2 linked regions of the Neurospora crassa OR74A genome follow. The protein of the gene in region 2 purifies or fractionates together with the protein of the main gene of each other region. This does not show direct contact. Links are inferred from orthologs where the notes say so. Each region holds a gene or a part of one and is shown on either strand. Other genes may lie near its edges. The genes, in order: NCU02510 and NCU07438.

The links.
Region 1: the proteins of NCU07438 (region 2) and NCU02510 purify together in Saccharomyces cerevisiae (affinity purification with mass spectrometry, with the first as the bait; 3 studies listed by BioGRID). This does not show direct contact. The link is inferred for Neurospora crassa OR74A from reciprocal best matches to the Saccharomyces cerevisiae genes LAS17 and CHC1.

What each region holds. Positions count from the first base shown.
Region 1 is NC_026501.1:2,558,490-2,562,853, forward strand, and holds the end of NCU02510 (clathrin heavy chain), read right to left. Parts: coding exon 1,608-4,364; intron 1,537-1,607; coding exon 1,192-1,536; 3' UTR 638-1,191; downstream 1-637. UniProt on the Saccharomyces cerevisiae protein: Clathrin is the major protein of the polyhedral coat of coated pits and vesicles. In yeast, it is involved in the retention of proteins in an intracellular membrane compartment, presumably the trans-Golgi.
Region 2 is NC_026501.1:624,937-629,416, forward strand, and holds the start of NCU07438 (WASP-like protein las17p), read left to right. Parts: upstream 1-1,415; 5' UTR 1,416-1,637; intron 1,638-1,816; 5' UTR 1,817-2,216; coding exon 2,217-2,426; intron 2,427-2,482; coding exon 2,483-4,151; intron 4,152-4,228; coding exon 4,229-4,260; 3' UTR 4,261-4,480. Other genes in the region: NCU07439 (hypothetical protein), read left to right, coding at 436-507, 590-751.

The sequences.
Region 1 (4,364 bases), about 1.9 Mb from region 2:
AAATCCAGGATTTGTAGATGCACCATGATACCTCTTATTGGCGACTTCGTCAATTTAGCTTGATCTGAATCTACAGTCGAGCTGCGGCCTCAGAGACCGACCGGCATCATGCCGGCTTACCCTACCTTCATGAACCTATGTGAAACAAGGATATCTCGTCCTTTGGCCTCTCGAGTAGATCAGTTCTATCCCAGTGACAACTTGAACAGCCAGCCACCCATCATCGGCGCGTGGCGCTTCATCACTTTTCGGCTATGGCTGTTTTGCTCACGATATATATATATATATTTGACATGTGCAGACTCTGTGGCATAGATACGGCATGTCCTTTGGCGCCATCGAGTTATTTGGAAATTTCTAATTGCCCTTGGTTGAAGGTACTAACGGCTGGCTCTACATGATGGTTATCAACCGTCGCTGGCTATCATTGCTCAAAGAACGAAGCAGACGGGCCACCTAAGCACCAAGGACTGCATGATCATTACCATTGGGATGGAGTATGTACGGATACCACATCATTGTTGCAACCGCTTGGCATTTGTAATGCTGCTCCGACCGTAGGGGAGTCTTGTGGACGATAATGCCAGTGATGGGGGTTGTCTCCAATACTATCTCCGTATGGTTACTACACCAAGCACAGCTGCTGCGTGATGCTAGGTAAAGGGGCATGTTTTCTAGCTTTGTAAAACTCCGGAGCACGTTGGAATCTCTCCCTGAAGTCAAGTAACAGAGGGTACCTGATACGAACCATGTAAAGTGGCACGTTTGGACCATGACACGTAGTAATCAGAAGTCAATCAAGTCGAAGAGCTCTGATTATGAAATAAGATATCATACATGAAATTTATAACAGACCATGAGCCTCTAATGATCTGGCCAACATGAAAAGCAATAAACCCTGCCATCCGTCTTTCCCTTTCGTTTCCCTTTTTCATCCCACAGACATTCGCAAAAAGCCATTTACATCTCTCATCTGTATGGGTTGTTTTATTCTCCAGGTCATTGAAATCGTGGCATATCAGCAAGATTGTCGTCCACCATGAGACAGCCAAGCGGAACAGCATCAACAGGATCCAGTTAAGGGGTACCTGAAACTCCAGAATCCTGATGGTCTTCACTGTGTAACATGAAGAAACCGGATGCGATCCGTCCAGGATCATGGATGCATGGAGAAACTACCAGGGTAGCCCTCTAGAAGCCAAAACCGGTAGGCTGCGGCACAAAACCGTTGGTTTGTCCGTAAGGAGCTGGGGATGCCTGGCCGGGGCCGGCAGTGATCATAAGCCGGTTGCCAAGAATGGGCGTGTTGTCCTCGACCTTCTCCTTCTCCTGCTCCTTAGCCTTGCGAGCCTCGTTGTCGGCCTTCAGAGAAGCGAGCTCCTTGGTCTGCTGGCAGAGCATGTTGATCATATAAGGCATGGTAAAATCATTGAGACCATTGCGCCAAGAAAGCTCCAGGACAAGGTCGGGCCTGATGAGGTCATAGCAGGCATAAAGCATACCAACGTAGCATTCGCGGTTGCCAATGTCAACGAACTACAGAGACAAATGTCAGTAAAGGAAGCCAACGTGACTTGATGAGCTTGAAGACAAGAAAAATAACTTACGTAGCGCAGAAGCTCCTCGACAACTTCCGTCTTGCCGGAGATGGCGGCCGTCTCAATAGCATCCTTCCAGAGCTTATCCTGCTTGGAAAGGTTGATGGACTTCTCCCAGCGCTTGTTCTTGCGGTAGATGCTGGCAGCAATTTGGCGGAAGAAGACAAGGTCGTGCTTCTCCAGACGACCGGCAAGGTCCACGGCGTCGTAGTTGTCGTAGTTGTTCACAGAGTCGCGCAGAGTCTTGTAGTCCTCCTCCTCAATGAGAAGATCATTGATGGCGTCGTTAACGGTCCGCTTGTTCTGAGATTGGACGCTAAGGAGGAAAGGCTTGATCAGGGGCAGGTTATCGGACTTCTGGAACATGCGGACAACACGGTTGACATCGATGCGCGGGGTCAAAACCTGGAGAAGATCGGTGAGCAACGAGGGATGTTGCTCCAGGTAGAAATTGATGGCCTTGTAGTAGATTTCAAGGTTGGCCACCTTGACGGTGATCTCCTTGAACTGCTGGTGCTCCCAAGAGTTCTCAGGGCGCTCCATAACGGCGAGAGCAGCATTGTCAAACTCATCGTAGTGGTAGTAGCAGAAGACCAGCTCAGGCCACAAGTTGGCTTCCTCGCAAGCACGGATCATCTTGGGGAGGTTCATTCTGCTCCAAAAGAGTTTGAGGTGCTCCATAAGGCGCTCGGGGTGGTATTTAGACAGCGCAATACCCAACTCGGTGAACATTCCCATGTGGGCGCGCTCCAATCCAAGACCCTGCTCGAGCAAGCTGATGAGCTCATCAAAGTAGCCGTTTGTCTCGTACTGCTTGACAAGAGCCTGGAGTTGCTCAGCATCAACAATAAGGTTGAGACCGCAAATCTGAGCAAGACGGAACTCCTTCTTGTTGACGCAGGCCTCGTGGACCTCCTTCCACACCTTGATGTTGTTGGCCTTGCGGGCGCAGTCCACAGCCGCCTGGTAGTCGGACAGGTGGACAAGAGTAGTGGCCAGCTTAGCCCAGTTGGAAATGCTGGTGTAGAAGATTTTGGCCGCCTCAAAGAAGCCCTCGGCGTACGCCTTGTCACCAGACTCCTCAACATTGGCAACATTGGTAGCACGCAGGAACTCTTCAAGCTCAGGAAGTTGATCGAGGCGGGCGTAGCAGAAAGCAAGAGCAGTGTCAATGACAGGCTCCCGAAGGGTCTTGCGGGCCATACGGAGGTACTTGATGAGCTCTTCGTTCTTTCCAGCAGCAACGGCAACCTCGATCACTTCCTCGTAGTTCTTCGGATCCTCGGCCTTGATGTAAGATTCAATGGAATCGCTGACGCGGAGACCATCAAGCTGAGCCTTGGCAACTTTGCTCCAAACCTGAGGAATATCAACCTCCTCGGCGTATGCTTGAGCACGGTCAATGCTAACGACGTGCTCAACAAGAACATTGACAGCGGCCTCCTTGTTGTCAATCTTCTTGTAGACCTCAAAGGCTTCCTCGTGCAGGCCAACCTCAATACAAACATTAGCAATCTCGTCGGCGGCGAAGTTGTCGAGCTTGTGAATGTAGTCCATCACACGGGCCTTGTCAGCCTTGGCGGCAGTGAAGATAAGCAAGTTCTGCAGGTTCTGGTTGTCGCTGAAAGGCGACGGCTCCAGGACAATCTTCTCCAGCAGCTCAATAAGCTCGCCAGGCAAGTCGGCGTTCAGGAAGCACGTAACAGCCTCGGAAACCTTGGCGGGATCAGTCGACTCAGGAACGGCCGTCGAGATGACTTGGTCTACGACAGAACGGCGGTGAACGTTGTTCTCGCTGAGCACAAACATCCAAAGTTCCCTATCAGCGCGCTCCAAAAGATACCTCGCCTGAGCCTTGTACATCTGGTTCTCGTTGGTGATGTTCACGAGTTCGAGATCATTCTGGCCCTTGCGATAGGCAATATAGGCCAAGTTGGGATCACGCTTCTCGCAGTACTTTCCAACAGTGAGGGTATCATACTGATCGTTCTCCTTGAGGAACTTCTCTGGGTTGTTGTTGGAGTCAATGTATATCTTGGCGAGAGCGTTGTAAACAGCCTGCTGCTGGTTACCGGCAGCGAGGGTAGCCTCCAGGAAGGGCAGGAGTAGCTTAAGGCGGTTACGAGTCTCAACCTCCTGCACCAGCTCATCGATAGGGATAGATGCGGGGTTGACCGTGCTTAGGAGATTCCTGATGATGCTTTCATCACAGTCCACATCGAGCAGTCCTCCGATGACACCAGGAGTCCTGCTCGGGTTGACCTGCTGCACGTAAATCTCAATGGACTTGAACTGCTGGTGCTGGTACAGGTAGAGAACCAGGTCATGAACAAAGTTGAAGCGATCGCAGACAACCATCAAAGGAAGCATCTCGCTGAGCTTGGCCTCCTTGAGGAAGTTCTTCACCTTCTCGGGGTTGTAAACGCTGTTGTCGCGGCAGATACGCTCAACCTCGCGAATTTGTCCCATCTTGGTGGCAGCCTCAATGTACTTGAATACGACTTCGGGGTCCTCGGTGACATTGACGACACTGGCAAGGAAGTAGTAAAGACCTTCAGCAGTCTTGTACTTCTCAAAGAGATCAATCAATTGCTGCGCGCCGAGGAGCTCCGCATACTTGGTTGCGACTTGAACGACAGTCTGGAGATTCTGGCGAATATTGTGCTTCATCATGGCGTCCAGGCAGTCAAGCGATTGCTCAACAGACAGCGCCTTGAAATACTCAATCAACCACTCGGGGTTGTAGTTAGGCATTCCAGGGATGTT
Region 2 (4,480 bases):
TATGTACTAATGGCGGTCCCTGAGTGGTTCCCTCCAGTCGGAGTCAAGATCCAATGCTCCGTCTTGTCGGTTTGATGCGCTGTTCGTGGGAGGTTTTAGCAGCTGTCATTCAGTGTGCCTGCCGCCGCATACCTACACTAGTAAACGACGCGTGACCACCCCCAGGCGACGTCATTGTCTTACACCCTCTCTTTTAGGCCCCTTGTACGTGGTACGACGACTACAGGTTTCTTCCTATTTATTCCCTTTTGCTCATCCATCGTTTTCTTTTATAAAAGAGACCCTTCTCGACCTTCAAAACCTTCCACTTCTACACCTTACCCATCTTCCTGCAAGACGATATCGAAAAAGTTGATCAAGACTCCTCTCAGTTGTCTCACTACGACCCACTCCTCACGAACCATCAAGACAAGTCATAACATCAAGACCATCACAATGGCCGGCGGCGACGATCTCAGCAAGAAGGAAGTCAACATTCTTCCCCACGACACCCAGAAGGACGAGCAAGTACGTTACCATTTCCTCCCTAGTCTGGTGCCTTGTGTGAATCACAGAAAACAGAAAACTGACTCTTTGGCCAAACAAATAGAAGAACCCCAACAACCCCCTCAACAAGCTCGCTGATAGTGCCAAGGCCACGTTCGAGCAGGCGTCAAAGGCCATGCCCGGTCCCGCCATCTCGCAGAACATCGGCGGCGAGGAGGGCACCAAGGAGGAGCGCAGGGCCAAGGCCGAGACGCTCAACAAGTAAAGATATGGACTCGGACAAACAGGGGAATGGATGGAATGATTGCAATGACTGAATGATACACACACATACACATAACATAATTGAACTGTTTTGACAATTACTCTGATGGATCAGTCCTGTTGGAGCCTAAAGTGACTTTGGTGGTGGAATTGCGCCCAAATGAGAGGGGTCTGGTCCTCGAAAGTTGTCTCAAATGGGAGCAATGTTAGCATGTGAAGGTAGGTAGGTACTTTCATGTCATCCCATGTTCGTACATACCTACACTACTTTCATCCTATATCAACCTGAGCCATATAACCTCCAAATGCACATGGAAGTTGTTGTCATTGCCAGTTTCAACATGTCCCTCAAACACCCAGCTCTCGGAGGAACCGTCTCGTTGGACATCCATCATCACGGCGGGCAAGCGAAAGGTCGGCTGTGCAAGCGGCGGGCGGGAATAGTGGAGGGGTTCAGTTGAGGGATAGGTACCCACTGTTAGTGGACACGGACAATTGACGCCCTATCCACCCCCGGCACAATGTCATGACGCTATCTGGTTCATGTCCACAAGTTGGTCGCTTCCCGTCGGAAATTGGTCATTGTGGCTTGCTGGGGTTTCGTTGCCATCCTGATTCCATTCAGTCAAAGCCAAACAGCCCGGTCGTTGCCGCCGCCGTAGTGATGCAACTCCCAATCCCCGTACATAGTGTAGTTAAGTAGTGTACACTCACTGCATGCCTAAGGAACCTCTTGCCAGGTACACCCGCAATTCAACTTCCTTCTTGTCTACCTTGCAATGGGACTTGCTCCTCTCTCTGTAGTCTGTACAGCTTTAATACATTGAATTTTCACGGCAGATTATAACTAAGCTTGCCAACTGAAGGCTGCTGGATCATTGTCCGAGGTACGTTATTCCCAGCCTGCCGCCGTCTCTTCTACTCAGTATCTGCTTTTGCTCCTTTCAGTCATTGGACATCCGGGCGGCCGAGTCTTCCTTATTCCTCCCACCAACCACCAAACATCCGTGCCTCCAATACCCAGACCTACCTCTAGCTAACCGGCAACTTCCATTGTCTCTTCTAGGCTTCCGTCAACTGCTTTTATTCCTACGCGGCAAGGCCACGGAAGCGCGGAGCTTTACTTTATCTTGTACCGACAAGATACTTGGCCGTCGATAACAAGCGCCAACGACCCGAAAAGCATTAATACGACATCCCACTTCCGACTTGCTACCTCACCCTTCGGTCGACGTTGCCCCCCTCCCCTCGCCGACCGACCCGCCGACCGGATCAAGGCACGACGACTCAGCTTCATAACAGTACCTCTCGGCGCTGCGCCCGCCGGCCGAGTCCTTCTACCGAATTTCCGCATAACGACTCCCAATCTATCCATGCTTTGCTCCCCCTGGACGATCTAAAGGGGACGACAGGCCGCAACCTACCTCAAGCCACTTCCACGCTTCCACCCCCCATATATATTCACGATGCCGTCCATCCTCAGCGACGACGACAAGGAAACGGTCAAGCGCTGCGTGCCCAAGCAGACCAACAAGATCCACGCCGTCGCCGTCGCCAGGCTCTATGTAGCCTACCCCAACCCGTCCAGATGGACCTATACCGGCCTCCAGGGTGCCGTCGTTCTGGCAAATGATCTCGTGGGCAACACATATTGGATCAAGATGGTTGATATCTCGGTAAGTGTGAAAATGACGATTGCGTGGCTGGCCACCATTTGGCTGACATCGGACAGCCCGGAAACAGGGGAGTGATATGGGACCAGGAGATCTTCGACACTTGGAACTACAACCAGGACCGTGTCTTCTTCCATACCTTCGAGCTTGAGGAATGCCTGGCTGGCTTGTCCTTCGTGGACGAGAAGGAAGCCAAGCAGTTCCTCAAGAAGATGAACGACAGGGAAAAGAACGCCAGCAAGGCTACCAGCAAGACACCTTTCGGAGGCGCATCCCAGGCACACCACCACAAGCACCACGGTCTTTTCGGCGGTCTGTTTGGAGGACATAAGCACGCGTCTCCGACAGCCACCCCGCCCGAGTCGCCACGTGCCGCTGCACCGGCAGGCCGTATGAGAGCTGGAAGCACTAATGGAATAAACGGATACAAGCCTCCTTCCGAGTTTGCGACCCTGGATGCTTTCGATCCCCTGTGGAGGGAACACTTCGGTGACGACCTCAAGGCCCAAGGCCTCGACGACGACTTCATCCGCGAAAACCAGGACTTTATCATTGAGTTCTTGAAACAGGAGCAAGCGAAGCAGGGTATACACACGAGCACTCCTCCGCCGCCGCCGCCGCCGCCATCCGCTCCTCCTAATGGTCCCGCAATGAGAGCTCCCCCACCACCTCCTCCTGCTGCTGCTCCGCGCAGTGTCTCCGAGTCGATAACTCCATCGACCTCTAGGAGAGGGCCAGTACCCCCGCCTCCCCCTCCAGCAAGGAGATCCGGCAAGCTCGACACGGAAAACCACCAGGAACCGGCCCCTCCGCCGAGATTTGCTGTTCCTCCTCCCATCGCCGATGCTGGCAAGTTTGCCCACTCTGATCCCCCGCGACATACGCCCTCTGCGCCTGGACCTCCACCACCTCCCCGGCCGCCGAAGACGCCACTCGAAGATCAGGACCCGAGCCAGAGGTTCAGCGTTCCTCCGCCATTCACAGGCCAACGAAGTGTACCCCCGCCGCCTCCCAGCCGTAGCTCTGTTCCTCCGCCACCGCCCCCGAGAAATTCAGCTGCGCAACCTCCTCTGCCTCCCAAGGCACCGGGACCAGCACCTCCCCTCCCGCCTGCGAGCTCACGGCCGCCCCCCATGTTGCCAACTAGAAGCCCGGCACCACCGCAGGCACCGCCTCTCCCGACCTCGAACGCGCCACCTCCGCCGCCTTTACCGGCCACCCAGGCGCCTCCACCACCTCCCCTTCCCGCAACCAGCGCGCCTCCTCCGCCACCACCGGCACCGCCAGCACCTCCGGCGCCCCCTCTACCCGCAGCACATGCTCCCCCGCCGCCGCCTCCCATGCCACCCATGCCCGCACCATCAGGCGGCGCACCGCCTCCGCCTCCGCCTCCTCCACCGGGTGGTATGGGTGGTGTCCCTCCCCCTCCTCCTCCCCCTCCTCCAGGTGGTATGCCTCCACCGCCCGCCCCTGCCTTGCCACCTGTTGACGGCAGTCGTTCGGCCGTGTTGGACGGCATCAAGACCGCGGGAGGTATCAGGGCGTTGAAGAAGGTAGACAGAAGCCAGATTCGCGATCGTTCCGGTGCTGCTGTTCCTGGTGGCTCCGATAGTGGGCCCGCAAGCAGTGGATTGCCGCCCGCTGGAGCTGCGCCGGGTGGCGGTGGTGGAATGGCGGATGCGTTGGCGTTGGCGTTGCAGAAGAGAAAGGAGAAGGTTAGCAAGAGTGGTAAGTATCTGGATTATCCCTGGCTTGTGAAGTGTGAGAGCATGTCGAGAATGATGCTAACACTGGTGGAAAAACAGATGATGAAGATGATGGTGATGATTGGGACTAAGTGCCCGATACCAACAATGACACGGTGAAGAGCCACCGGAAAACAACAAGGTTCCAAGTAGGAGAAGAGTGCAAAAGGAATGAAAAGCAAGACTGGAGAGACACCGATATCCAACCATCATCCATTCATCTGGTCGTTATTTGGCCATAGAGGAGATGATGACGGCGAGGATGGGCCGTTGCTGGAACAGGAGGAGGAAGAAGAAGAAGGAGAGGAAGGG